7 separate regions of the Mus musculus genome follow, and regions 1, 3, 4, 5, 6 and 7 are each reported to be linked to region 2. The links are microRNA targets in miRTarBase. Many come from high-throughput screens and were not tested one by one. Region 2 holds a microRNA gene; each other region holds the end of a gene's coding sequence.

Region 1 (4,067 bases), not on the chromosome of region 2:
ATCAAGGCAAAACCACAAGAAATTAAATGAAAATGAAAAAAAAATGTTAAAAGCTACTGACAAGGAGGGGAGGGGTTACCTTCAGAAGAGCAACAAGAAGACAAGATAGCCTTAACTAAAAATGAAAAAGACAGCCCACAACACAGGCATTTGGAAAAGATAATGAACAAAGTTGAAGTGTCTATGAATCACTAAGGAAAACTTGAAGAAGACACCTAGTGACCAATAAACCCAGAAGGGTGTTCGGCATCACTGATATGCACCAACAGGTACCATCTTATACAGGGATGCCGTATACAGGGATGCCATAATAAAATACTATACATTGGATAAAATGATCTATTTGTTTCTTTTATTTCAAAAGTGAAGAAAAATCAAAGCCAGGGCGCTATTGGATCGTCTGATGAGTGTGTGCCTCCTGGTTCAACTATCCTCTTCCTATCTCTTTACATGGCAAGAAGATAGAGAGTTCCCTGGGATATCATTCATGAATGTGTATATATATATATACATACACACTGTCAGAGGCTGGAGAGATGGCTCATCAGTTAAGAGCACTGGTTGCTCTTCCAGAGATCCTGGGTTCGATTTACAGCATCTCCATGGCGGCTTGCAACTGTCTCTACCTTCTGTTCTAGGGGATCTGACACAGACACAAATGCAGGCAGAACAACAATGCATATTTAAAAATAAAAATCATGCTTTTAAAAGTGTACAGGCTAGCTTTATGTGAACTTGATACAAGCTATAGCCATCTATGAGGAGGGAACCTCAAATGAAAAAAATGTTCCATAAGATGAAGCTGTAGGCAGGCCTGTAGGGCATTTTCTTAGAGATTGATGGCGGAGGGCCCAGCCCATTGTGGGTGGGGCCATCCCTGGGCAGGTGGCCCTGGGTTCTATAAGAAAGCAGGATGAGGAAGCCATGTGGAGTAAAAAGTAAACAGCTCCCCTCCATGGCCTCTGCATCAGCTCCTGCCTCCATGTTCCTGTCCTGACTTCCTTGAGTGATGAACAGCGATGTGGAAGTGAAAGCCAAGCAAACCCTTTCCTCTCCAACTTGCTTTGGTCACTGTGTTCCATCACAGCAACAGATACCCTGACTGGGACAACATATATCTCCCTAAGAAAACACTAGTCCTATGACCTCATTAACTCCAAGGATCCCACCTTCTAATACTACTAGGGGTCAGGATTTCGATGTATGAATTGGGGGAAGGGCTCAAACATTTGGTCCACAGCACACACCCAGCTAGTTAAAACCTAAGCATAGGACCACACCAGATGCTGGAGGGAGGTAGGGTAAGAACGTTCATTTACTCCTGGTCAGTGTGGGTATAACATACTGCATACATCATAAGATAACACTGAAGACTGACCAACGGGAAGTCCACATTTCTGTTCTTAGGTAAATATACGAAAGAACTGTATTTGTGGCAACCAGAAGTCATGTATAAAAATGCCTATCACATCCTTTGTCATGCTATACAAAGACTGAGACCCTCTCAAATTCTGTATTGTGATATAGACCCACTGTGATGATGAATCTTGAGTGCCAATATCATAGAATCCAGAGTCAACCAAGAGATACACCTCTGGCCAGCTCTGTGGGGGCACTTCCAGGAGGGATTAACGGAGGGGGGAGAACCCTCTCTCACAGTACACAACACGTTCCTGTGATGGTCCAGATGCAAGATGATCCAAAACAGCAGCTCTCTTGTTCTTCCTTGCCTGCCTTTGCGTCTTGCTGGTGAGTGCATCTGCCCAGTTGCTGCTACCCTTCACTGCTTCTCCCACCTCCCAATGTGGACTGGGGACCAGTCACTCTGCTGAAGTCCCCAGGCCTTCAGCACCAGATTGGGACAACAGAGTCACCAAACCTCACAGACTAAACTGCTGCTGGTTCTCAGCCTCTCCAGAGTGCAGCTGGCCACTGTTGAACCACCCAGCCTGCATCCTGTAAGGCAATCTAATAAATCCCCCTTTGTAACATATATTCACCCTTCCAGTTCTGTTTCTCTGGAGGGCCCCCCACCCCCATCCCCACCCCCGCCGCATGAACTGTTAAAAACAAACTCTGTGGTAATACAGACCTTCAACAAAATATCAGATGAAAGAAGCCAGACAGACAAACTTGGTCAGTGAAAATGAGGTAACTGTATTCAGTGACCTGGTCACAGGAGGGAAACTTCAGTGGTGACCGCAAACCATCAGCCCACGGCTATCACTGACCTTTGGGGACCGGGAAGGAGATGCAGTCTGGTGGGCCTCCCACACGGTTCCCGAGTGCTGACAGGAAGGTTGCAGCCGGCAGAAGGTGACACATGCTTTCACATTCTTCACATTTGTCACCGGGGACAACTCAGTGTACATGTCCCATGCCGAACATTAACAGCTTTCCAGCTGTGAACACCTGTTCTCTCTGTGTTCTCTGGGTGAGCAGGTGAGATTACTTACCACCTCCGATTTCCACACTGCAGCCTGGAGGGCACGCCAGTGTGGAAAAACCAGGTCTAGAACCTGGGGCTAGTGTTCTGCTCTGCAGAACATCTGTATGGCAGAGATGCACACAAATCAGAAAAAAAATTGTAAAAGAGCTCCTGCGTGGTGTGCTACACACTCATGCGTGTGCGTGTTTGTGTGTACACCGGCTTGTGGAGACTGGCCATCCACTTCTTCCATTTTCCTCTGTGAGCTTCCAACCTTATTTTTTTGAAACAGTGTCTCTCACTGAGCCTGGAGCTTGCCAATTTGGCTAGGCTGCCTGGTCAGCAGGCCCCAGAGATGCTTGCCTCTGCCACCCTAGCACTGAGATTATAGGGAGGCACTGTCAGGCCCTGAGTTTTATGTACTTGCTGGATATCAGAATTCAGGTCCATGTTCGTGTGACAGGCACTCTTTTTTTTTTTTGGTTTTTCAAGACAGGATTCTCTGTGTAGCCCTGGCTGTCCTGGAACTCACTCTGTAGACCAGGCTGGCCTTGAACTCAGAAATCCGCCTGCCTCTGCCTCCCGAGTGCTGGGATAAAAGGCATGTGCCATCACGCCTAGCTGTGGCAGGCATTTTAAGCCAAGCCAGGCCCAGTTCCTGGAAACAATACCAAACAATACAAACAATACCAAACAAGAATAACAACAAAACCAAAACACTCCAAAATAAGGCTATTTAAGGCTTCTGGCAGGAACATTTTTATTTTTTGGTTAAAGCCACAACAAATAGAAATGTGATAAAAACACACATGTAAACAGCATCAGAACTTTGGTTTCACTGAGACATCTTCTACCTGAAATATCTGAGGTACAAAGGCACCGTGCCGGGTGCTATAGTCTGGCTCTACCGCAGCCATGCCAAGACACCCCCAGAGCCAGGGCAGGTGTAAGCTGGTCAGAGTCTGGGGCCCAGGTCACCCAGGACTAGGCTCAGGATATACTCTCTCAATTCAGTCAAACACTGGCTCCTCCAATGACCTGCCTGACAGGAGCTGGGACATAAAAAGGAAGCTGTCATGTTGAACTTGAAGATGATTTGGACTATGGGCCAGGGAGGAGCGGAGAGAAAAGGACGTCAATCAACTTCCGTTGTTCCACAAGGTCTTAAGAACTCCTGTCCTCGCTCATGGAACCACTTGTTGGAGACTGTGAACAGAAAGCAAGTACATGACCATCCCACCTATCAGTTCAGCAAGCAGCCAAAACGAATGCTTCCTCCATGATGACCACTGCCCTGTGCTCTGTGGGTAACACTCCAGTGCCACACGGCCTCAGGCTTCAAGCTGCTCACGTGCTGATGAAAATACATGAGCACACAGATAATGGTGCAGAAGCCAACCAGTGATTCGGTGGGTGTATGTAAGTTACCATGGGAACAAAGCCAAAGAGCATCTCATGATGTTAGGGATGAGAGCAGTACTGAAACAGAACAGGAAGCCAACAGAAGTTATCCCAGAAAGAAGGCGGGTATACCATACGGCTGCCACTCCAAGTGGAGTAAACGCAGAAAGTGAGCTGAGAAAGTCTCCAAAGGCAGGAGCCACTCTGGTAAGTGTGAAGGACCTCAAGAAGCTGGGAC
Region 2 (4,067 bases):
CTGGATTATAAGTGCCTGTAAAAAGAAAAACAACAACAACAACAACAAACAGTGCTTAGGGCCTTTAAAAAGATCATACAAGTGAATGATGGGCTGACCTTGTGGACCACAGAATGCCAGTTGAGACTGCTGGCTTTGTCCTGAATTAGCCAGAGGATGGTGGTTTTACAACTTTATGGAAGCTTTGAAACCAGAACAAGCAGAAATAGTGGTGAGTAGGGCTCAGATGTCCTGGCCTAGAGCACGAGATATGTGTATCTCTTTCGTTGATTTCTGTCCAGCAAGTCTGATATAAATTGAGCTGTTCTTATTTTTAGCTCTAGACAAACCTAGAGATTTTTAGTACAGTCTAAAAGTCATCTCCTTGGGCTGGGGCATAGCTCAATGGTAGAATACCTGTCTAGCTTGTGTAAAGCTCTAGGTTTAATCCCAGACACTGGGACTAGGGGATAGGAGAGGATCATGTCCTTTTACTTGAAGGATAACAGCCAAAAGAACTAGATTCTTCCTAGGCCAGTTTTTAACTTTGTTTTTCTTTGTTACAGAGGAATGATATTGCCATGGCAATTACAAAATTTGATCAGTTCGACTTTCTCATCGATATTGTTCCAAGAGATGAACTGAAACCTCCAAAGCGCCAGGTGAGCTGGGAGGATTTGCTCAGCTGCCACCTCCAGGGCCTGGGCAAGATGCTCTCCGGAGCTCCTCCCTCCCTCCCACCCAAAGCATTTCTTGTTTGTGGTTCTCTTCCGTAGTCCAGATCATCCTCAGCATCTCCTTCTACTCATTTATGGGTACTTTTAACTCAGTGCCTCTGGGGTGGGGTTGCAGTGAGAGAACAAAGTTAAAAAGACTAGTCACAGATAGTGGGGTGAAGCTCAGTTCAGGATTTCTTCATCTAAAATAAAAGCTTTTTCAGCCAGTCAGTTTTCAGATTCTAAGAAACAACCTCTTTGTGCATAGTGATCAGATTGGAGCCAGTGGCTTTTATTTTCTTACTCTATGCTGTGTCTCTGTAGTGTGATGACTCTACCCATCATCCACTGAGTCAGAACCTATGACCCCATGACCCCAGGAATCAATAATTAAAGTTCCCTAGATGCTTTGGTGTCCAGTGAAGTTTTAGAACCACCATTTACATTTTTCTTTTTAATTACAAGAACTAAGTGTCTGCCCTTCTTCTGCCTGTTCATCTCCAAAGATCACACCATTTGTTTTGTTCAGCACTTGGGTGCATATAACTTAGTTGTGATTGTGATAGACCCCAGTCCTATAGAGCTCATTGTTTCAGGCACGCAGTTTGCATGATTCACTAGGTTTAGTGTAATATGCCTCAGAGAAGTAAAGCCATACCATGTCCTGCTTGTTTTATTTTTGTTCATAAAATATAAGTGTTTTTAACTAATTATTTTGTAGTATACTGTTTAGAGTCATTTAATGACAACCATTCTCCCCATGTTGACCTGTACAAATAACCAGTCAGAAAACCTGTTGGAGAAGTGGGCATCCTAATTGACATTAATTCTGACCCTGCATGAGGGTTTTTGGGTTAGCAAGCCCTGGGTCACCTCCTTATGGGAGCAGGTTGTGCCTCACTGAAGCTCTTTATTTTTCTGGGCAGTCTTTGCTACTGTAAACATCCTTGACTGGAAGCTGTAAGGTGTTGAGAGGAGCTTTCAGTCGGATGTTTACAGCGGCAGGCTGCCACAGTCGTCCCCGGCTGCGCTCATCGGCTTTGAGACATTGCAGGTTTGTGCCCATGAACTTGTCTCCTTTTCTTGGGTTACTTCCTTTCTCTCTGAGAAGTCACAAGAACTCAGACTGTCTCTCTTCGTTTGGAGCTGATAATACCATGAGCCTGTTTTCCTTATTGGATTTTTGCTCCCATGTATCCACCAGGAGTTTCCTTTAAAGACAAGGTGGTAAGATCTGTGATGCAGTCAGGCATTGCTCTTATTGTACTGATTGTTCACTATGGGCTGCCTGCTGAATAGATGACTAAAGAGAAAGTTATTATCCTATACCAGTGGTTCTCAGCCTTCCTAATGCTGCACCATTTAATACAGTTCCTCATGTTGTAATAACCTCCCAACAATAAAATTTTTTTCATTGCTATTTCATAACTGTAATTTGCTACTGTTATGAATTTTAATGCAACTATCTGTTTTTCAGTAGTCTTAGGTGATCCATGTGAAAGGATCTTTCCATCCCACAAAGGGGTCACAACCCACAGGTTGAGAGCTGCTGACCTATACCTTCCTCCAAAGTTGTTTGTTCTTCTGGGTCTGTCAGGGTGTTAGATTTGCTGGTGGTCTACCCCATCTCCCTCTTTTGTTCTTTGGTTTGGTTTGGATTTTTGAGATAGGCTCTCCCTGTGTATCCCTGGCTAGACTAGACTGTGTAGACCAGGTTGTTCTGGAACTCGGAGAGATCTATCTGCTTCTGCCTCCTGAGTGCTGGGATTCAAGGCATGGACCACTATACTTAGTCCATCTCCCTTTAAAAGGTATACAGCAAGAACACTCCTTTAGCTGCCTGGTTTTAGTTCTTTGTAGGTGTTTGAGCTATTGATTGGCATCCTATTCAGGACAGCTGCTGCCTGGCATTTAAAAGGTTGAGATTGCTGAAAGCTGGCCTGAAATTCTAAGATAGCATTTTTTAATTCTCTGTAGACATGAAGTTTTCCCAAGCTCCAAATTGGCTGGCACCTCCTAAAGTCCTTTAAAAGTGCCTACTCTCCAAAACACACCCTCTGAAGGAGGCAGCAGTTCACCCTGCCACTAAAGCAAATGTATTTTTTCCCCTAGTCTGGAGCTGGCTGCTCATCAGTGTAGTGATGACCCTGTGCTGTGATACTGTTTGTTCACTGTCACTGTTTTTCAGTCTCAGCACTGGAGAAGCCACTGTTAGTGTGGAGCAGGTACCCTTCTGTACTGAGTGTTAGCATGGAGCAGGTACCTTTCTGTACTGACCTATTCGGTCAGGTGTTTTCCTAGGGCTTGGTGCTGATCCATCTGGAAAGGGAGACACTGGATTATGAGGCTTCTCAGAGATGATTTGGAGTCTCCCTCTCTCTTTTTTGCCATGGAAGTAAGTAGATTGTCTGCAAGTAGATGGTAGTTGAGGGTTGACTTCTCCCCGACTAAGCTATGAGTTGAAAGTTCCTTGCTCATTGAAATGTCATTATCTTTTCACCCATTTCTTTAAATCAAGCATCATCATTTCCTGCTGGCTTGATCTCCATTTGCAGAATGAGTGCTTCATAAAGCAGAAGAACCTTACTTGTGCCTCCTTCCATCACAGCAATTTGAAAATAGCCATGCTTGTCCTGACAACAGTGTTCTAGAAACTGTCTAAGTCATTATTACCTGAGAGGATGCAGTAGAAAACATGGGAGAGGCTACCTGCCTGCCTGAGAGCTTTTGCTAAAGCACTATTTTGGGTTCTGGCAGAAGTATTTAAAGAATTTGCTTTTTATCTTGGAAAAACAAAACAAAACCCTTGTTCAGTGTTGTAATTATGGACACCTAGAGCTGATCACAGGTCAAAGGCAGGAAGGGACCGTGTCCCCAGCTGCTCTGTGTTCTCAGTTCTTAATACTCTCATAAGCTAAGAGTGTTTCCACTGTTAAGTCCGGCCTTCCTATTTCTAAAATAGGAAGGGGAGATCTCAGTGAGGGGAAAAATAGACACTGAACTTATTTCCACAGCTTTGGAAAGAGCAGTTGACCTCAGTTTTGTGGTCTAAAGGAGTATTGGTATGTATCCCTGCCAAGACATGGTTGCCAGCTGACTTTTGCTTAAAATGGAAAAGAAACCAAAATTGAAATGGACCTGGCTTTGACTTGAAGTTGAGAAAATAAAAGGAGCTCTATATATATATTTTTTTTACCTCTGCTGAAGGTTGAGGACTGAAACTGTGGGTTTGAAGCATAGACTACATTATCGCAGAAGGTCAGCTTATGCTTAAAGACTTGCTTGGATAACCAGAACGTTAGGAACAGTTTTGTGTTCTGGGTTGATGACCATTGGGGAACCTTGTTATGTTGCGATTGAAATGTCTCAGAG
Region 3 (4,067 bases), not on the chromosome of region 2:
AACAAAGAAACACGGCACAGAAACAAATGATTTGTAGGAGGAGAGCCCATGGTAGCCTTTGCGATACAGGTAGTCCATCGTGAGACTTGTTTCCCGTCTGTATGAGATCCGTTAGCACTTCTAGGATGTTGGCCGGAAAGGAGTTGTAGGGTGCTCTCTGTTCAGGGACCCGTTGCTCTACAACAGGAACATGGAAGCTATGAGGCCTTGCCAACATGGAAGAAATGTCACAGCAGAATGGCCATTGGTGCTGTGATAGCGCCCACTACGGCACTGTGACACTCTGGCCATCCCAGTTCCATGAGGCCTGAAACCCTGGCTATCCCAGTTCCTTGAGGCCCACCCTCAGTGGTAGATTTGCTGGTTTCGACTGAGTTTCTCACCACCTCACCTCTCACTGGCCCACAGATCCCACATCTGAGGAGTCCCTTCCCTCATCTGGGAAAAGCAAGTACGAAGCCATGGATTTTGACAGCTTACTGAAAGAGGCCCAGCAGAGCCTGCATTGATATCAGCCTTAACCTTCGAGGAATACCTCAATACCTCAGACAAGGCCCTTCCAATATGTTTACGTTTTCAAAGAAAAGAGTATATGAGAAGGAGAGCGAGCGAGCGAGCGAGCGAGCGAGTGAGCGTGAGAGATCACACAGGAGAGAGAAAGACTTGAATCTGCTGTCGTTTCCTTTAAAAAAAAAAAAACGAAAAACAAAAACAAATCAATGTTTACATTGAACAAAGCTGCTTCCGTCCGTCTGTCCGTCCGTCCGTCCGTCCGTGAGTTTCCATGCTGTTGATGTTCCACTGCCACGTTAGCGTCGTCCTCGCTTCCAGCGGATCGTCCTGGGTGCGCCTCCAAGTGCTGTCAGTCGTCCTCTGCCCCTCCCACCCGACTGACTTCCTTCTGTTAGACTTGAGCTGTGTTCACATAACATCTTCTGTCTGTAGAGTGTGATGATGACATTGTTACTTGTGAATAGAATCAGGAGTTAGAAACTCATTTTTAATTGAAGAAAAAAAAAGTATATCCTTAAAAAGAAAAAAAAAAAAACAAATGTATTTATGGCTCTGATTACTGTGCCTGGGATTAACGTACTGCTTCCTTGATTGTTTAACTATGCACTGTCACGAGGTGTTTGCTACTGAGCTGCGCTGCTGCTTCCCTGGTCCATGTAGTCCTGGAGATACTGGGTGGCTTCTAAGTCCCCAGGAAAGAGGGGCTTGCCGTCACAGGTGTGAAGAAGAGAGAGGTGTCTAGGGATCTTCTACCAAGTCCTGGTGTCTTTTGAGTGAGTTCCACTCGAGCTGTAACGAGAATCCCTTCCCCCTGTCTACCCACACTTGGAGGGCACCTGTTTTTAGTGCTCAGAACCTTGAGTGCCTGTAGGGAAGGTGGGGTAAGCTATGTTAGACCCATTCCACGGGGAAAGAGGATATAGTGCCCTGAGAGGTGAACTGTGAAATGTGCTGCCCAAGGTCTCACGGCAGAGCAGTGAGCCACCTCTAGCCTCCTGACTGCTGGCCCCAGCCTGCGGCAGTAGTTAGCCTAAAGATGCAAAAGTCAGAGACTGGAGGAGTGGAATTAGCTAAATTGAGCAATAGGCTAGAAGCCTAATAGCTCACTTGAGAATTGGGCCACCAGTTGACTCACCAGCATTAAGGCAAATTCAAGTTTCAGCACAGACTCAGGTGTCCCTGAGCTTCGATCCTCGGTGTCCTGCGACTTATCCTGCCTGTGGATACCCCTCAAGGTTCTGAGATCCCTGCAAGCGGTGCACAGACTTCACCTAGGGGCTGTCCTTTGCGGGCAGGGAGGGCAACTAGCAGCCCATTCCGATATCCTACAGTGTCCCTGCCTGCCCCTCCTCTGTAAAGTTAGAGTTGCCGAGTGAGGGGTTGTACAGGTTGGGGGTGTGGACAAGGCACTCCCAAGGAGCATTCACAGTGAGCTCCTCTTGACCCCGTTCTTGACTACTGTCAAAGCCATATCCAGTGTGACATTCTCTGGGTCCCCAGGGGCCCTTCTCGAGGGAGAGCCGGCTCTATGGGCAGAGTATCAGCTCTAATGCTTCATATAGATCAGTTCCTCCTTGGTCTTGTGACATTTTCTCTCTTTCTCCCCCTCTCCATCCATTCATTCATTGTTCTGCCAAATAAGAAAGTTTGATTAATCAGCTGCTAATGACAGGCTTATTCCTTTGATAATTGGTGGTTAATTTTTTTTTTTAAGATTATCAAGTACCTCAGTAGAGAAAGTGAGCCATGATCTTGTGCTTGGTGTTGGGAAAAGTCTTCACCTATAGATAAGGAGGCTGGCTCTAGCAGAAATAGGGGAACAGAGAATCTGTGTGTGAGATAGATCCCTTGGCCTCCCTAAACCCCAGGTTCCCTTTCTGTGAAATGGACTGAGGAGCAAATTAGACAGCAAGAAGTCTTAGCAGCTACTCAGGCAGTACATAGTCACGCCTCCCCCCACCCCCCCCCCATACACACACACATCCTTGGGATGCAAACATAGTTAATTGATCATAAACACTAATTTTTTTGAGCCTGGTCGTGCTCTTAGAATACACAGTGCTCTAGGCAGGCATTATTAATTGGTCGGTGTTTTAACTGATTTGACATCCTGTTCTAATCTTTGGAAGACTATCATTGTAGAGCCATATGCTGGCTGGTTTTTATGCTGGCCGTTCCTGTCATAACCTGATCCATGAAAAAGAAAAAAATGCCCCTGAAGCCATTACTCAGTAGAAGACTCCCAAACTATTACAAAACAAAGGGGTGTGGAAAGGGAAGGGCGCAGTAGAACACGGAATCAGAACTGGAGAAGACGTGACTTCTGAGGATAGATCCAAAAGGGGACTTTTCACAGTACAGACCTAATCGTTCTGAATTCCTTTATTCATTTATTCGTTGCCTGGCATATGGTAGGCACATGGAAGATGGGTGTGGACTGGGATGGTTCTTCAGTTGTATCTACTAAAACCGGGGCTCTAACCACAGAGGAAAGCCAGTGATCGCTGAAATCACCCAAAGGGAAAGGGACCAGACATAATCTGGAGAGCCATTTGAACTCTGACCCCACCAAGACCTTCTTTTGTGACTTTATGAGTCTCTTCTTCTTGGGACCTCCAATGTAGGAGTTGTCCAAGGAACCATGGGCTCTTATCTTACCATCTGCTTCCGCAGCTACACTGAAGCCAGATGCTGGGTCTGGAGTAAAAGATCAAATTCTTAATAAACACTAAGTCTTTCTCTCTCCCAGCCAGGGTTACCTGGAGCTGACCAGTCAGTTCACTCTCTGGCACTCAAAGTCACTCAGATGTTGTTCTTGAGCAGAACAGAGCCCTGAGCCCTACCGGAACTTCCTGGTGGGAACTGATGCCCACCAAGACTCTCTAGTATTCTCCACTTACCCTCTCATAAAAATGGACTACCAGCTCTGCAGATAACCCCTCCTCCCCCTCTCTGGAAGAGCCATTCGGTGCTGCATATAATTTACCAAGGAGACTGTCAGGCCCCTTCGAGACCAGGAATCCATCTTGGTCTCTTTCCCATCAAATCAAGGAGTAACCCAGAGGGAGCAGCCGCCATGGGCAACCTTCTCGTTGTAGCTGTCGTGATGTGTCTCAATGATGTTTACGTGTGATTGCCATAGCTTCCTATAGACTGTTGACAGCCGCCCAGGGAGGGCAGTTCTCCGTGTCATATCTCTGCTGTGCTGGTATTTTCTAGAAATGTCTGATCCAATCACTAAGAGGAATTCTTCCGTCTCCTTCCTCAGTCACTACAAGGCTGAATCAGAGTCCTCTCTCTCTCAGGGGACTCTGTTACGGAAGGAAAATGCATCAAATAGGTAAATATGACTGAATGGGATACAGCCAAGGTCCCCACTCCCCATCCCCCGACATCACTTGTGGCCCCAGCTAGAAAAATGCTTTGAGTCAGAAAGTACCCATCCTATGCCTGTGTGTCTCTGTTGATCTTTTAGAATCTGGTGAACAGCAAGGTTCCAGGGGTGGTGGGAGGACTGCTTTGAGCCAGCCACAAAGACTTAGTCCTCAAGTCCT
Region 4 (4,067 bases), not on the chromosome of region 2:
TCACAAGGCTGTCATATGCATACTATTTAGCACATCCCTTGCTGGCAATTTTTCAAAGCTTTGCTGGCTTTCTGCTCCCCGAATTCTCTGAACTCTCTCAGACGAGTCTTTCTCTCCTTTAGGTCCAAAAGAAAGCTACTGGGCTGGAAAGAGACTGGGGAGGGCTTCACGGGAAGCAAACCCAGCTCCCATTCACCAGTGAAGAATACAGCTGATTCTCCCACCGGTGAGGCTGCTGCTGCCCCAGGGCCAAGTAGCAGTGCCTGCCTAGATGCTGGTAGAAATGATGATTTCAAGGCCTTGCTCCAGAAGAAGGGAAGTAAGGCAACTCCCAGGACCCGCCCCTCAGCGGCCGAGCTGCTGAAGACCACTAACCCTCTGGCTCGAAGGATTATTGCACAGTTCTCAAAAGACTACGAACCCACTGACAACCCCAGTACCTAAGCCCTGCTTCTAACTTCCTAGGCCTGAGTAGAGAAGGAGAAAGAGAGAGAGCTTTAGAAAGGAACCAACCACAGGAATGACAAAAGAATCGATGTCTTTGATGTTAACTCACACTCTGAACAGCAGAGAGGACAACACAACAATGGAGCTCACCTGGCACTCAGATAGGCTTCAGACCTTCCACATTTCCATTATTCCATCCTTGCCATGACTGAACATCGGAGTCCTACTTCTTGTCTCTAGCCCTGTGCACTAAGAGAGCCTCAGATTGGAGAGCCACCTTTTCAACGTCCTATTGTCTTTGTCCATTGGCTCCTGTCACTGAGGGACACAGTACGGAGAACAGATTGGGACCTTCTAAATCAGGCCTGGGGACAGAGGGTACCAGTTCCCACTGTTGATTATCTACTTCCTTGAAGAGGCCTTGATGGCCCTTTGTGAAGACACAGAAAGACACCAAGGCCTCCTCAACCACAGTGTGACTTTCCTCCAGAGAGAGTTCTGTAGGCGTGCACTAATTACGGCATGGGGTTGATTGGATGGCTTTTGTGGTGCAAACTATGACTGTGACTCTTCCAAAACTTCATGCCTTTTTCAGTTTGATTGTCTATGCGGAGATCAGGGTGATGAGTTTTAATAAACTTCTAGGACCCCCCCCCATTAGCTAATGAACCAAGCTCAGCCAAGGTAACTCGCATGCACGCCTTGAGGTCTCTCGAGTGTCTGTCAACATAGGTAGCCAGGATCTGTGCCCAGCTCATGCTGTATACTCCAAGAACGCTCATTTCACTTGCATGTAACATTCATTTTACAGGAAGTACTTAGGTAAAGGACCGGCATCATGGAAGGCTCCAGGAGTGGAAAGAATGGTATCTTGTCCCGATACCATTCGATTCAGATTGTGCTATTTTGTGGTTGCTTCGATTTTGTTTAAAGGAAGTCTGACTCTTTCGAAAGTCCAGAACCTGTATACTAAAAAAAAGATCCACTCAAAATCAAAAAGGCAGCCATGCTATGGCCCAGGATACAAGGGCTACTTTTTGCCATCTAGGTACTGCTATTTGGCCAACTTTCAGTTAGCTGTGGTGGAAGACAGCAGATGTGGAAAGACTTCCAGAACAACCACAATGACCCCTTCTTTTCCAAAGTCATCAGGCACTGGCCATTCTTGTCAACTCAGTTTTGTAAGCAAAGCAAGAGCTCCTGATTTCCATATACCTGCTTTCTGGGGGGCTAGGGATAAGATGGGCAAAACACTGAGCAGAGAAACCGTGCTTGCCTGTGTTGGAAAGCTCTCGGTCTTCTGGTCCCAAGGGGGCCAAAAGGAAATGAACTTGTATCGTGCTTTGCAAAAGCAAACAAACAACAAAAAACGGTTCCCTGCACCCTTCCTCCTGTACCCCTGCCCACGGCACTTCTGCCCTTCCAGATTCCTTGCTCACTCTCCTGGAGGATGCAGCAAGAGGCCAGAAACAAACAGATCTCCATTTTGACAATCCTTATCAATGAGAAGCAAGCTCTTAGCTCAACTGCCCACACTCCAGCAAGGCAACATGGCTGAAACTGAAATAAAACTCCACTGAGTGCTGAGAAGACTCGAGCCCCTGGCATGGAAGCCTTAGGCTGAAATCCTTGGTTGGGTTGGTCTAATTCTGAATTCTAGACAAATGAAAATAGGTCAAGCTCACCAACTGTCTTCTAGCACTTCTCTCAGACTTAAGGGGAAAATGGTCTCTTAAATAATAAGACAGTTCTGAGAAACTATAGTTGTTTTGGAAGTGTTTAAAACATTTGACATGAAGATCTTAACCAAGTTTCCTAAGTTTTGACTGAATTGAAACAAGAGTCAGGCAGGAATGTGTGATGCAGTTTTGATCCCAGCACCTGGAAGATGGAGCCAGGCAGATCTCTGTGAGGTTGAGGCCAGCCTGATCTACATAGCTAGCTCCAGGCTGCTGAGGCTACATAGTGAGATCTGGACTTCAGTCTTGGCCTTAGTTTATATAGAAGTATCACAGCTGACCTGAACTCAGAACTCCAAAAGACAGAGGCATTTGCCTCTGTAGGGAAATGAAGGAGCGGATGCCCATGCTTGTGTCTAAGAGAAGCAAAAGGCTCCCTGGCTCTGCCCTTCAGAAGCATCGTGAGTGGTTGAACGTGTGAGCATATGGGACTCTGTATAGGGCTTGCTACTTTTGCTGATTTTTTTTCTTTGCAAGTGTCTTGTTTGTTCCTTCTCATGGGTTTTGCCTCTCCCCTCACCTTGCTACCTCTGGAGGTGTTCCCCCCCCCAAAAGATTGTAAAACTGAACGCTTAGACCGCTTGAGGTGGTTTCAGTTGCCTGAACCCTTGTTTTCCTCTGCAAAACTCTGTGGGCCCGGGATGTTTAGAACATTTCTGCATCACTATGACCCTCAGAAACCCATTAGCACAAAAGGATTTGGGGCAGAGACTTCACAGTCAGAGAAAAGACTTAGGCCTGGGAATGTCCATTCAGTGTTTGCAGGAGTGGACCTAGTCCTAAAGAAACCAGACTATTGGGGAAAAGATTTACCACTCATTGATCAGCACACCACCAAGCATCTTTCTAATACTTAACCTTCTCTTATTCAACTCTCTTCCCTGGGTACAATGTATGCTGCCGGTGAGGATGGGGGAAAGTTGAGGAGAAACTCTTTTCAGGGAGGTTCTCTGGGAAGTTGCTTCCAGAGTGATCTCTATAGGTAGAATAGACAGTAAGTTGGAGGGAACTCAAATTGGCCCCAGGTAGTCAGCCTCTGCTTCAAGCTATTTGTATTCCCCTGTTTCCCTCCAGCTTCAATCTTTAGTGGTAGGTGGCTCTGTTAGAGTGAATATAGACAAAGGTTGGCAAGACGCCCCCCCCCATCCCCACCCCAAGATGCAATTAATGCTTTGTACTTGGTGGGTATTGATTTGTGGTTCAAATGTGAGTGGTGGAGAGCAGGCTAGTCTTAGTACAAAGGCTGACTTTGCTTGTGGCTCCTCCCCTTTGCCTGTACTCCTGGCCTGCATGGGCCTCCAACTTGTCCTCCAGTCCTAACACCCGTGAACTGCACTGGTACCAACAGCTCAGCCACAAAGGAGTCAAGGCCATGGGCAGCCAATCCATTCCTGTTAGCTTCATGACCCCAAGGTTAAGGTTCTGCCAACAAGCATTCTGCCTGACATCTACTTTATCTAGACAACCCAGATCCAGTTGTCTCCGTACCTTGTCACTCTGAGCAGATCTACCCATGCACCTGTCCACCCCCCTCCTCCTCACCTTTGAACCAGTCAGGAAAAAAAAAAAAAAAGACTAGTTATCTATCAATCACTCAGTGCTCTGTTGCTCACTGCTCCGCCCTCTATGTTAGCCAAGTCTGTGGCACAATGGTGAGCTTTTCCTTTGCTATGATTTGCCAGGGCCAGGACTAGGGTGAGGCGATTGGGGAGACGCCCACTCTCAAGGCCCCCGCCAGTGCCTTACCCTTGCCTTGGCCCTGCGATTTGCACTCTGTAAAGTTGTATCGGTTACTCTTCCTGAGTGTAGTTGTGATTTGGGGGGCAGGTTCTGCACCAAATGTTTCTTTGCTGTTTCTCCATTTGTTGCCAGAAGCCTTTG
Region 5 (4,061 bases), not on the chromosome of region 2:
GTGAAAATACAATTAGTTTCTCTCAAATAAATTATAAGTGTGCATGGCCTGGGAAAAACTGAAGCCCAGCTCAGCAGCTTACAAGGGGGCATAATAACAAGTTGGCACCCATGGTCAGCAGCTAACCAAGTGCTCCTACCAGGATCAGTCCCTCTGGTGTCGCTCCTCCCCAGAGCCCGATTTCCATGCACCCTCAGTTACTGCTGAGAAAGAAGCTGCTGCTATCCAGGGAAAGGAGCCCTGGCAGATATGCTGAGGGTTAGAGGAAGAAGAATCCAAGACGGAGGACTAAAGAAGCGTTCTCCCTCCCGCTGGCGCTAAGTATTCAGCCACACTGCTGCTCCTCCAAAAAGAAGTTAAAGCAACCCATCCAACTGGTGAAGGAGCAGCAGTGTGCTGAAGCCAGCAGAATGGAAAGGAGGGCAGAAAGGACCTCCATTCCTGGAGACTTCAGCTAAACGCAAATGCATGTAGGTCCCTTTAAGAAGACTGCTTTCTAGGAGCTGGCCCTTAAGCTGGAAACTCTGAGATGAGAGAGGTGCTCCCTCTTATCAGTGCCCTATTTTGCTGCTTCAGGCATCGGGTTTGGAGCAATGAAGGGATAATTCAAAGCTACTGGCCCAGGTAACTAAAGGATAAAATTAAATGGGCCAGGCAAGAGGATGCTAGAGCATTTACCTTGTTCCTCCCTGAGAGCTCTGTCAAGGCCTGGGAACTGCCCTGAACACTGACTGTAGCTGTGCTGAGCTGAGGCCTCCGCAAGGGCAAGGGGAAGGCGGAGAGACGAAGACCGGAATAAAAGTACAAAGAGCGGCAAGCTCAAAGCACTGCCCAAGCAAAGCTTCCTAGAGCACCTGGCTTCTCAGGGACTAAGTAGTTTCCTGCTCCGTAAAGATCTCTTGAGTTTTAGTATCAGAGAACAGAAACTCCTCGTGGAGGAAAGAACAGTTGGAGACCAGGAAGATTCTGCTGGAGTGAAGCTGGGAGGGGAAGTCCCTTCCCCAGAGACAAACTGCCCAAAAAACCTGTAGATGCCTTCCTGGGCAGAAGCCAGGTCTAAGAAACATAGAAGGGATTAGAGAAAGGAAGGGTAGGGGTTTGGGGGAGGGAGTAGTTACATCTAACACTGCTTCATGCAAAAGAACTTGATCCTGTGGGCCTCTGTGGGCCTCTAGGCCACCGTGACCTCCTCTTCCAGGACTGCAGCTCCACTGGGAGACCCTGGGAGCTGCTTCTTCCCAGCTCCCTGCTGCAGCTGGGTGTTCTGGTAGGAAGACTACCTAAAGCAGGGTGTTCCTACAGATTCTGTTAACCCCAACACAGTGGGGCTGACTCTTCAGGACTTCCAAAGCCCTGTCCCTATTCTGGAAGGCTCTCTTCCTGAGGGAATTAGCTGCAATGTTGCTCTTTTTACAGTTTGAACACAGCTGGCCTCCAGAGCATCTTGGAGAGGAAATCAACTCGCCCCCTCTTAAGGTACTCAGACTCATTAGTAAAGCCAAGAGGGAGAGTTGATCCTGATTAAAGCCTCCAAATCAGGTATTGCCCTTTTCAACTTTAAACACTACTATATTTTGTACTTTGTGGTCCCACGGGTTTGGACAGGGGAGGGAAAGACTATCCTAAAAGGTGTGTTTACACCTTCCTGCGACAAGTGGCTGCCAGAATAATGGAGACAGAAAAGTAGCCTCATAATGAATGCTCTGCAAAACCAAGGCATGAAAGAAACTTTAAACCAAATCCAACACTGCCAACTACATCCAATTCTGGCTGCCTTTCAGCTACATAAAGCCAAAGACGAAGCCTGTGGAGGCTTCAATATCGAAGGAAAAGTAGATAAAGAGTTTCAAAGACGTGTTTTAGTTGTACCTAACCTCAGAGTTCTTTACACTCAAGGTTTGAGACTATTACTCTAGTGCCAGCCTGGCCTCTGTCCCAAATGTTGCTTTTAGGTCCTAGGAGGTCTAAGTGCAGGGGCAGGTAAGGAACTCTTCTACTTTTGAGATATGTGATCCAGGATAGCCTTGAACTCATTAGTTAGCAGAGGTGGACTTGAAAATTCTGAGTTTCCTGCATTCCCCTCCCACGTGCTGAGATTACAGGTGTGTGCTACAATACCCCAACACCCAAATTTTATGTGGTGCTGGGGATGGAATTGAGGGCTTTATGCAGGCTAGGCAAACACTCCCGGCCCCAGCCTCAGCCTCGGGACCAGCCCCAGCTCCAGGTAAAGAACTCTTTAAGAGATTTCTCTTCAGTCTCCTTTGAAGTAAATGGTGGTGGTGAACTAAAATTGACCATACTCCCACTTCTTGGGCCCTCAGCTGTCATGAACAGGGCTCTGATTTGGTTGGCAGCAACCCAGACTCTAAGTTTACCCAAGACACTCCTTCCACGTACAGCTGTTTAAAGAACTCACAGAGGATGTAAAATAGATGGTTACTGGACAGGAATGGAAGAGGTAAGGCCCTTATAAATCTGAGGCACAGCTTCCATCCTCCCTTTCCTCCATCTGTCCAACCTCTGATGTCAGGGTTAGTCCTGATACAACCCCTGTTGCAGAAGAAAAAGTTTCCTACTATAACAGCTTCCTCAGATTACCCTGAACTGTTTTGGGTCAGTTAAAAGGGAGCATAATAAAAGACCCTAAAGAAACAGGAAGGAGATGGAGGACGGACTCAACGTCGATCGATGGACCATGGCTTGGAAAATGACTTGGAATCGAGACTCTAGGTCTTTAGACTCCCTGCAGCCTCAACTGCTCTTGAGAAACGGCCTTTCTCCTCCTCAGCACCCTCTTGAAGATAAAGACACTACACTCCTCGATCCTCAGACTCTATGGCAAACCAACAGCCAGAAACTGTACTCAATACAAAAAAGGGAAGAAAACCCAAGCAGGTTGTAAACTTTTCGAGTCCTTCATGAGGAGAGGTATTTTCCCTGTATTTTTTTTTCCTTTTTAAAGTTTGTTTCAAAATAAAGAGAGCAAGAGAGAGGTCATGAATTCTGTGAAAGGTGTGTAAAAACACAAGCTAAAAAAGGTACTGCCATCAATATGAAATTTAAAAAGAAATATATATATGTATATACGTGCAGCTAATTTGTGTATATATAATTTTTACATACATACATACATATATATGCTTGAACAGTGCAAATGGATGGAGTTCATAGTTCCAGTTTTAAAAATATAGTACAAGGAGAGTCTGTTGGTATGAGGCCCGGGTCAAACGACAAAGATGACTTTGGCGTGTTGGCTGGGCTTGTGTGTCTGATCTCAGTGGACTTCTGGTACTATCAACCTGCTCTCTACCAGCTCAGTTCCAGAGACGGGAAATTCTCAGGAAGTTATTAATAATATTTAGCTTAGGACTTTGGGACATAGTGACTTTTTTTTCCTTTTTTTCTTCTTTTGTGTTAATGGTTACTGTCTGACATGGGAGACGAAAAGGCTAAGAGGCTGAGGGCAAAGAGAAGATAAAGGGATGAGGAAAGGCTAGGTGGCCACATCCCTCTGCTGTGACCTCGCCATCTGGAAAATATTCTGAAAGGAAAAAAAAAAAAAAAAGAGTTACTGAGGAGCAGCAGGGCCTCCGATCTGGAGACAACCCTCCGACACGATGGGAGCAGCACACGCGCTGACAACCGGATTCAACAATCCCAAGCCAACACAGCCGCTCACATCACAGAGGACTCTGAATATTTACCACCTGGCTCAGTCTTTCTCTTTTACAAAAGAGATAATTCAGATCTAAAAAGGTGGTTGCTATGCCCAAAATCACAGACAAAAGAAGCAGGAGAAATCCCAGATGACTTCCAGAGCCCAGTGTTCTTTCTACTAGAGCAAGAACACCAACTTCCAAGTGACTGACTATACTTCTTCATTTTCTGATTTTTCTTTCAGAGTAAGTAACCAAGTATTTAGACAGAGTTTTCTAAATTCTGCTCCAGCACTGACACCTATAAACAACAGTAGCAAAAAATTTCCCCCACATTTATTTTCTTGGTTAGTGAAGAAAGACACTACTGTGACTTATCCAGTCAAATGGCTAAAACTCTGG
Region 6 (4,067 bases), not on the chromosome of region 2:
AAAACAGATTCCCAGATTTTTATTTCTGGAACTGTACACCAGGTATTAAAGTACAACAAATACAAAATAATGCTCAAAAAATCAGTGTTTATGTACAAATATTAAAATCAATGCAACAATAGCAACTTCCTCTTGAACACTGGATACTAAAACTTGTTCTGATTGTCACTAGTTCCTCATACTCACAGGGTACTTAGTTCAAACTGGGACAATTGCAATCACTGGTCATCTAAGAGGAATATTAATATCTACCATATTTAACAATAAAACTAATAGTTTCCCTCCTTTTAGTGAAAAAATTAGGAACTTTTTAAAAAACATAGTAATGTCAATATTTTATAAATTATTTCAATTTCCATTCGTAGACAATGTGCTTTGAAACTCTGGGCAGACAATCTCCTTGGTGGTCGGGTTGTTAGCTTACATTCAACGTTGAAGTATTTACTAGACTTTGGTTAAATTAAATAGCGCTACTACTCTATTAGGTCTGATCGCAAATATTTGTGACCTTCAATTTTAAAAATTAAAAAGGAAGCGATTGCACAATTCTTTGACCTAATTGTACAGACTTTAGGTTTTTTGTGTTTTTTTTTTTTTAAATAGTATTCTACATCCTTCAAGTAAATTCAGCAGTTGACCATGACAAGAGGAAAACTAAACATTAAAAGGCCGGCATAGCACGGCGAAGCACACGTGACGAAAGTAAAGTATTGCTCCAGTCACAGCACCAGGTCACACTCGTCAACGTCCACATCCTCCGAGTGCCCTGGACACACAGGATGGGCCAGCCGACACCGCCACTGCTCACCATGGATTTTTGGTTTGTTCATATGAAAATATTGCGGCAAATGAAAGAAACAAAGAATTCATCACCGTTTGCTATAAGAATTGTGCTTATTAACACGTGATAATAAAGGCATTGTTTTTCTTCATACGATTGCAAAGCAGATTTTTTATGCTTTCAAACTCAATTCTTTTAATAAACAGTAACAAATTCTCTGTTAAGATGTTCAAATGGAGACAAAAAAATAAGTCCAGCTGTTGGAAGAAATTCAATAAATAGCTATTTTACATGGATAAAGTCATAGTGGTACAATTTATGAATGTCACATCAGGCATGCACAAAAATGTATCATACATGACAGGAGCAGTCAGAAAATATTGAATTAGGTCTAAAAAGATATGAAGAATTTACTGTACACATATATACAAAAATCTTGCAAATTATTGCCTCATTTTAACAAGGAATTAAAAGTAAACGTTACCAGCTAGGTAGCACTCTCTAAGAGGCTAAAATCCAGTTAGCATTTAAAAATCTGTTAAACTAGCTGGAATTTATTTCTCTCATATCATTTTTCTGGATTTTGGTCAAAACTCTATTTAAATAACTAAAGTGTCCATTCAACTTGCTGATAATCAAAACTCTAGATGAGAAACACTGTTTCCATCTTACATCAAGACCCCAGCGATGCATAGATAAACTGTGCCAGCCAAAGAGAATGGGCATTTTCATGTAAGTGCAACTGGTATTAGCATTCAGTTATCTTTGTATAAATCATTTATACAGACCAGCCACGGTAAACCCAGAGTGAAAAATATAGTTTTAACAATGCAAGAACATGCCCGGTATCCTCCTACATTAAAGAAAGTCTACTGAAGGGAACGAAAAAACCAAGGTTCAAAGTTTAGCACAGCACAGCAATAAAAAGCTAGCTAACCACTTGGAGAGTATTAGAAAGCAACATGGAGCCCAGGCTACCCATTGTTTACTGTGTGCATACAGGAATACTCAATTTTAGATGTATAAGTTAAAGACTGATTTTAAGTTATTAATTTAACTACCCTTTGTCCTCTGTGCTAAACTAAATTTTATACTTAATGTGCTACTGCGTAAACACTTCAAAGCAATCTTCATTAAAATGCTGCAAAGGAAAACAATACACACCATCCAAAAGCAAGGATGTCATTGCAGTTCACAGTTTGTGCAATAAATACCCTCCCGTCCAGTCACTAGGACCACTACCTCCTACCTACTCTTCAGCACGACCTTGAAGCGACTCACACTTATAAACAGCAACACAACTAGGAAAATAAAAAAAAAAATCAAAATATTTAATTAAGACGGTGCAAAAAGTAATTGTTTTAACTGTAAAAGTAAAGCTTATATCCTAACACTGTGTTGTAGAGTTTGACTCACCTGAAAACTTAAAAGGAGCATGTCTAATAAAGCAAAAATGGTCAAAGCTATGACAATGGCTTCTTACTCATGTTTGGAATAAAAGTGAAATCACGTCTGAGATGCACGTGAACATCTGTCACGTTTTAAAACTTAAAAGTGGTAACGTACCATTCTACTTCAGACAGAAACTCACAGTTTTCTTTCCAACTATTTGAGCTAAACAAAGTAGCTTCAAGGGTCTGCGTTATGTATACCATCTAGAAGTCTAAGTATATTAACACTTTGAACTGCAGTGCTCCAAACAAGGTGTCCCAAAATGTAAACCACTGTGGCAACTTCCTGGGCTTTGTAGACTGTGCCTTGCAAGTCAATTGCCTCGGAACAAACTAAATTACCAGTGACCAGTATGATTTTTAATATTACAATCTTGACAATGGTGGACAAAACCCCATATGAATACCACATCTTCAAATGCCAATTTTTTTGTAAAAAAAAAAAAAAAAAAAGAAAGAAAGAAAAAAAAAAGTTTACACAGAAGTCCCCCGGCAGTACAATGACCAATTCTGTGTAAGGTAGCCCTGGTCTGGAATTTTGAAACAGGATCCAAGCAAGTGTCTCCTTCATTTGCACACAGCTCCTCGCGCCGGCTTCCAGACAGATGGTCTTGCTGTTTTGTAAACTGAAGTGCTCTAGTTGAATAACATGAGAGAAGTTTCTGTTTTTAAAAAAAATCCTTGCATGTTTGTGCAGTTTAAAGAAACCTACCCCTGCTTTTATTAATAAAGAAAACAAAAAAAAATAATAATAATGCTACATTGAACAGGGATCGGGGTTGGTACCTGTAAACATTGATCCCACTGCATCCGTTACGGCAAAAGGAGCTGACATGAAAAGAGGCCACATCAGTTCTGAACATCTGTGCTGGTTTGAGCTGGTGGCCTCTGTCTACAGGTTTTAAATCTGGGATGAGGGCGGCGGGAACAGAAAAAAAGGAGGCCGTGGAAGAGGTACTAAGGGATGAGGAGAAGCAGAGCTTAAAGCTGCACCACAGAGCTCCATCTTAGTTCCCAACTCTGCGGATCATAGTTCATTTCCACATTTATGGATTGAAAAATGAAAATACTCTTGATAAATCAAGATATAGTTCTATACATACTGACATCACTGATGTCATAGTGAAAAAGGTTCAAACTTCCAGTGAAAGACTATGCAAACCTGATAGCTCCCCTTCAGTTTACTGGTACTGCATACCCATTGTCTCTGGGCTTCCCGTTCCCATCACTCTGAATGAAGGGCGGCGTGCTGGTGCTGATGCAGACTATGGGCATTGATGAATCCGTTTGTCTCGTTGGCAGACAAACTGCCAAAGTCAGCTACAGAGACAGCCATTTTGGCACTGGTGATGTGATGTGTATGGTTTTCAAAGTCTACACCCAGGTTGTTTACAGAAACCTCATTCATAAAGGATTCGGGGACAGCAATGCCCATCTTCAATCTCTTTGCTGGTCTTTCGGATTCTTCGCTGCACATGGGGTTTAACTCTGAGTGATAAAATCCAGTCTCAAATAAATTAAAACAATCACTTTCACCATTGCTGGGCAGGGTGAGTAACTCTTCCGTTACGACAGGCACATGATTGACGTGTCCACGAGGCGTGTTGGCCAGCGGAGGAAAGCTGTCATCCAGACAATTCACAGCGGTGGGGTTGCAGACAGTTGCTACACTGTTGGTTAAAGCTAGAAAAAGAACGGAAAGGAGTTTAAGTGAGAGGTCACTGCTCTGCAACAACAGAATGCAGCCTGCAGCAGGCTGTGCACGCAGCCTCGTCTTACCTGTCAGGTCACTGGCAGTGAAGGAGCTGAGAATGTTCAGCGGCTGATCAGGAACG
Region 7 (4,066 bases), not on the chromosome of region 2:
ATGTCTGTGAAAGGGCTGAAGAAGTTGACTCATAGAAGTTCAGGTCCTCACATAATCATGGATGTCACTTTCCTTCCTGTTTTCTTCCCGGCCAGTGCAAAGAACACGATTTGGCTATGATCAACCAGCTGCTGGATGATCCAAAGCTGACAGCCAGGAAGTACAGAGAGTGGAAGGTCATGAACACCCTGCTGATCCAGGACATCTATCAGCAGCAGGCACCTCAGGACCCTGAAGTCACCCCTCAGGAAGTCATGAATCCCACGTCTTCTGATTGTGTGGAAAATTCTCTTTGAGCAGATGCCCAGATCCCACCCCCATTCCTGTTACTATACCATTCTACAGGATGCTGCCAAGGGCATTCATTCTGCTTACAAGGAAATCCCAAACCCAGTTCCTGAGACATCATCCATTCCCCGCAAGGATGCAACTGAGGTGAAGCCAGTTTTGATGCAGTGGGAGTCCTGGCGCCCAGATGTTGCCTTCCTCAATACTAGAATGAAGTGATGGAGTTCATCTGAGCAGGCATATCGTCTGTGCTTCTACTGGGAGCTGGCTGGAATAATAGGCTTTAGGTGGGATGTGAAATGGGTGAAACCCCTCTTTTTGTTTTCAAGAGAATTACAACCTGCCATAGACAAAAGGCTCAATTTTACCAGGGATAATAATTCATGTTATTTTGTTTTGCAAAAGAAGCATGAAGAACTCCCTTTGGTGGGCAGCCAAGTTCTGCAAAACGTTGTGAGTGGAGGAATTTCTTCCTTATTAGCTACTGGAACTGGACGCATGTTGGCATTTGTGGAACACAAGGCTCTTCTTAATGTTGATGTTCTATTTGCTGAGCACTTATTTGCAGAGTAGAGCATGGTGGGGGCAGAGAATGGATAGCCCAAGGAGGAGGCATTTTTCCTGTTCTACTCAGAGGTCAGCTTCATAAGTTCATGCTTTACGTAGGGCAGGGGATGTGATTAATATGCCTCTTCCTCACAATGTCTAGGAGACAAACTATCACATGACCTTTGGAGATGTCGTTCCCCCCCACCCCCAGCTTCTCTGAACAGTGGTAGGATATTAATACCCACTGTAAGGAATGTTATATTAAGTTTACCCCTGCCTGTGGTGCCTAGAGCCAGCATGAATTCGTGTCCAGTTTTCCTGGGATCCAAATTCTCAAGGTTATTTCTGAGTTGTTCTTAACTTGGAGAAGTACCCGGACCAGCAAAATGGGATCATTTTATTTTTGTATGTTTATGTGTCAAATGGTGTGAGATCTGAACAGTGATCTATGTTTCTTATTTAAATATATTTATAGAAATGCAAATTATAGTGTTCTAAAAGAAAGTGTACTATTATGTGTTGATATATAGACTATACATATATATGTGTGTGTGTATATATATATATATATATATGTCTAGAAGCATATCATTTTTGCTTGAGAAAAATAGGTATAGTAGTGACTTACTGGTATTGTATTGCACTATGATATATAAAGAATGCTCAGGAAATCTCGAGAGAAAACCACGGGAGCATGTATTAATAATTACTAATTTTCTGAATGCTTTCTTTCCATTACAACCCCACCCTCAGCTCCAGAGATCTTACATTTCAATGCCTGTTACACATCATTTTCTTAACTAGCTCCTTAGGTTAGCTCTTCTATTCACAAAGGTTAAGCTTTATGATATTTAGTTGCCATGAGTTGTAGACCCAAAGAAACACATCTCACAAACTATTGAGCCAAATAAAATATAAACAATATGATTCCTAATTATATACTAATAAAAATTAAAGTTTGTCATTAAAGAGATCTCAAGGAAAAACAATATATTAATCATAATGACAACTTCTAAATCATAACCTTAATTCACTGAGGACCTATGTGTGTCTCACGTGCCCTTTGAAAATTGTTGACGTATATATTCATATCATAACATCCCAGGTGGCTCGGCAAACTCAAATAGAAATAGCCACCTGATCTATATCTATAAGGTGAATAGAAAGAATTGTTTATTATTTCCCTGTACTTCACCAAGACTTTTTTTGTACACTGAAATGAAAACCAGTCCTTGCCTTAGGAGGGAAAAGTAAAGAAGCAGCAAAAAGAGAAGCAGAGAGAAGCAGAGAGAGGCAGAGAGAAGCAGAAAGAAGCAGAGAGAAGCAGAGAGAAGCAGAGAGAGAGAAGCAGACTCATCAAGTGGCGAGACGAAGCCTGGGGATGAGCTGAGAGGCCCTGCAGGGCCCTCCATGGATCCATGCAGTTGGAGATGCTAATGCCTATCAGGACTGATTCCATTTCCTCCTGTGGCTAGTAGCTGTTCAGAGGGCAATGTTTTGGGGTTCACAGTGAAAGGAAGCATTGGGGGGAGGCAAATTAGCATTGGAACAACCTTAGCCTGGGAGAAAATATCCACTCATGTCTTTTATTAGCAACTCCACTTTACAGACCTCCATCCTCCCCCAAGTGGAAGCCCCAAACACTTTTTATGAGGGCTGATTGCTATATTTAAATGTTTTACGTTGGCTTTCCACTCATAGGTATTTAACTGACCTTTGAATGTAAACTCCTTTAGGAACATTCAGATCTAAAGGCAAAGTTGGTTCGTGAGATTGCTTGAGCAAGTCATAGGGTTAATTTTCCAGGCAACTTCAAGAAAGTCAGAGCAGACATTTCTGCTTTGGTGGAACCAGCCTGCTGAATGTTCCCAAGTCAGTCTCAGCCGTGTCCTGACCTCCTGGGCACAAACCAACCACTCTCTGTTCCCCAGTTCTGTAAATTAATACTTCTTCACTCTGGGCTAAGTTTAGTCACAGCGTAGGGGTGCTTCTGTGGGTACCCAGCCTCAGCTGTGATCCTAAGAGTAGGGTGAGGACAGACGAGGTGAGCAGGAGAGTGAGTGACACTTCTGGGTGAGGACAGAGAGAGCGACACTTCTAGAGACCCTCAGTGAAGAGAAACCATGAGGAGCTATCCCTTGGCCTCAAGTCTCTTCTCTGGTTCAAGAGATTTGGGAACTATAGATCTCTCCTAGTTAATGGCTGGGAAATGGACTATAGGTAGTGTGAGCCCAGGGGAGACTCTTGACTGTGCCTCTGGAATGTACCAGAGCACCCATCTCAGGACACTGGTGGTGGATCTTTGAGCACGAATCTTTTAGAACCCATGGCACTGGTTAAGGATGAGGCTTCTCTGGGGACTTTTGGGGAGGCAGGGCTGAAGGAGGACTCTTTCTTTCTGATCTGAAGACCCAGATGAGAGCCTGGCAGAGGACCCTCACTAGTTGAGAAGTTGCTAACACACATATGTCGCACGTTTTTCTGTTGTTTGCAAGATGTCTGTCATTTATAAGAGTTCTTAGCTTTCCCTATCGCTTTAATCTGAGGTTAAATTCAGAGTCCCAGAAAGATGCTGGAGCGAACAGTTGCAGGATTCCAACAGGCCAAGAAAGAGGTCAGGTTTGGAGTCATATTTTCAGTGTGAACCCATGCCTTATATTTGCATAGCTCTTTGAAGTTTGCTAACTGTATGTTCCAAACCCCCTTCCCTGCGTCCTACCACCCCATAGGCTAATCGGGATGATTGTGAACTATGGGTGTAATGAAATGCCTGGCTCAAAGCCCCAAGTGGTACAGCCGGAATCTGAGTTTGAATTTCAGGTCTGTCAGCCCCTCTGCAGAGGAGGAATGCTTGTCTCCGCTTAGCCTGCTGGGGGATCAAATGGTCTGACTTGGCCCCTGTGTCTATTACTCTGGGTTCTGCACACCTGGCTCCTGCGGCTTCTGCTGAACCCCCAGAGGCACTGCTGTGAGCAGTGTCTCCCGAAAGGTCCCGCTGCCTTGCCACTGGGTTTTCTGAGAACTGGAGCTTGGCCTGATTGTTGTTTCTTTTAGTCCGTTCTATAAAACACACTATGTTAGCACTGTGAGGACTTTAAAGCTAAAGGATACAAGTCTTTTAAAGAGCTGGAAAATGCTCATTTTTCTAATTTTTCCTTTTGAGATGCGAACTGTCCTGTCAGGTATCAGAGACTTAGGGATTAGAAATGAGCCACGGATTTGTGATGAG

Evidence for each region. Region 2 holds the annotated microRNA mmu-miR-30e-5p (UGUAAACAUCCUUGACUGGAAG, at 1,632-1,653, shown strand). A microRNA usually pairs through its seed, bases 2 to 8, with sites in the 3' UTR of a target mRNA and lowers its output. Matches are read on the target gene's strand: a 7mer-m8 pairs with bases 2 to 8, a 7mer-A1 pairs with bases 2 to 7 and ends in A, and an 8mer does both.
Region 1: miRTarBase lists P4ha2 as a target of mmu-miR-30e-5p. Seed matches in the 3' UTR shown: 8mer at 3,239-3,246.
Region 3: miRTarBase lists Ppargc1b as a target of mmu-miR-30e-5p. Seed matches in the 3' UTR shown: 7mer-m8 at 566-572, 8mer at 721-728 and 7mer-m8 at 3,634-3,640.
Region 4: the mRNA of Nhsl2 is a reported target of mmu-miR-30e-5p. The part of its 3' UTR that is shown has no 7-base or 8-base seed match.
Region 5: miRTarBase lists Snx27 as a target of mmu-miR-30e-5p. Seed matches in the 3' UTR shown: 7mer-A1 at 2,901-2,907.
Region 6: miRTarBase lists Mier3 as a target of mmu-miR-30e-5p. Seed matches in the 3' UTR shown: 8mer at 3,020-3,027, 7mer-A1 at 2,853-2,859, 7mer-A1 at 2,497-2,503 and 7mer-m8 at 1,891-1,897.
Region 7: the mRNA of Ipcef1 is a reported target of mmu-miR-30e-5p. The part of its 3' UTR that is shown has no 7-base or 8-base seed match.

Annotation. Positions count from the first base shown.
Region 1 is chr11:54,130,757-54,134,823 of GRCm38, reverse strand. P4ha2 (procollagen-proline, 2-oxoglutarate 4-dioxygenase (proline 4-hydroxylase), alpha II polypeptide) reads right to left here. Exons shown (of 16, transcript NM_001136076.2): 16 at 3,157-3,634. The coding sequence ends at 3,564. Among named protein-coding and RNA genes, the nearest start is that of Gm12223, 9.1 kb to the left of the region's middle.
Region 2 is chr4:120,770,246-120,774,312 of GRCm38, reverse strand. Mir30e (microRNA 30e) reads left to right here and starts at 1,616; the gene lies at 1,616-1,707. Nfyc (nuclear transcription factor-Y gamma) reads left to right here. Exons shown (of 10, transcript NM_008692.4): 5 at 546-641. It overlaps Mir30f (microRNA 30f), which reads right to left and starts at 1,707; the gene lies at 1,616-1,707.
Region 3 is chr18:61,295,125-61,299,191 of GRCm38, reverse strand. Ppargc1b (peroxisome proliferative activated receptor, gamma, coactivator 1 beta) reads left to right here. Exons shown (of 12, transcript NM_133249.3): 12 at 409-4,067. The coding sequence ends at 509. Gm46627 (a long non-coding RNA gene) reads right to left here and starts at 790. Exons shown (of 5, transcript XR_003952647.1): 1 at 728-790.
Region 4 is chrX:102,082,484-102,086,550 of GRCm38, forward strand. Nhsl2 (NHS-like 2) reads left to right here. Exons shown (of 8, transcript NM_001163610.1): 8 at 123-4,067. The coding sequence ends at 444. Among named protein-coding and RNA genes, the nearest start is that of Rtl5, 13 kb to the left of the region's middle.
Region 5 is chr3:94,497,728-94,501,788 of GRCm38, forward strand. It overlaps Snx27 (sorting nexin family member 27), which reads right to left. Exons shown (of 12, transcript NM_001082484.2): 12 at 1-3,544. The coding sequence ends at 3,497. Among named protein-coding and RNA genes, the nearest start is that of Celf3, 21 kb to the left of the region's middle.
Region 6 is chr13:111,714,532-111,718,598 of GRCm38, reverse strand. It overlaps Mier3 (MIER family member 3), which reads right to left. Exons shown (of 13, transcript NM_172593.3): 12 at 4,012-4,067; 13 at 5-3,915. The coding sequence ends at 3,458. Among named protein-coding and RNA genes, the nearest start is that of Mier3, 30 kb to the right of the region's middle.
Region 7 is chr10:6,886,705-6,890,770 of GRCm38, reverse strand. Ipcef1 (interaction protein for cytohesin exchange factors 1) reads left to right here. Exons shown (of 9, transcript NM_001170800.1): 9 at 96-4,066. The coding sequence ends at 296. It also overlaps a transcript of Oprm1 not described here. Among named protein-coding and RNA genes, the nearest start is that of Ipcef1, 92 kb to the left of the region's middle.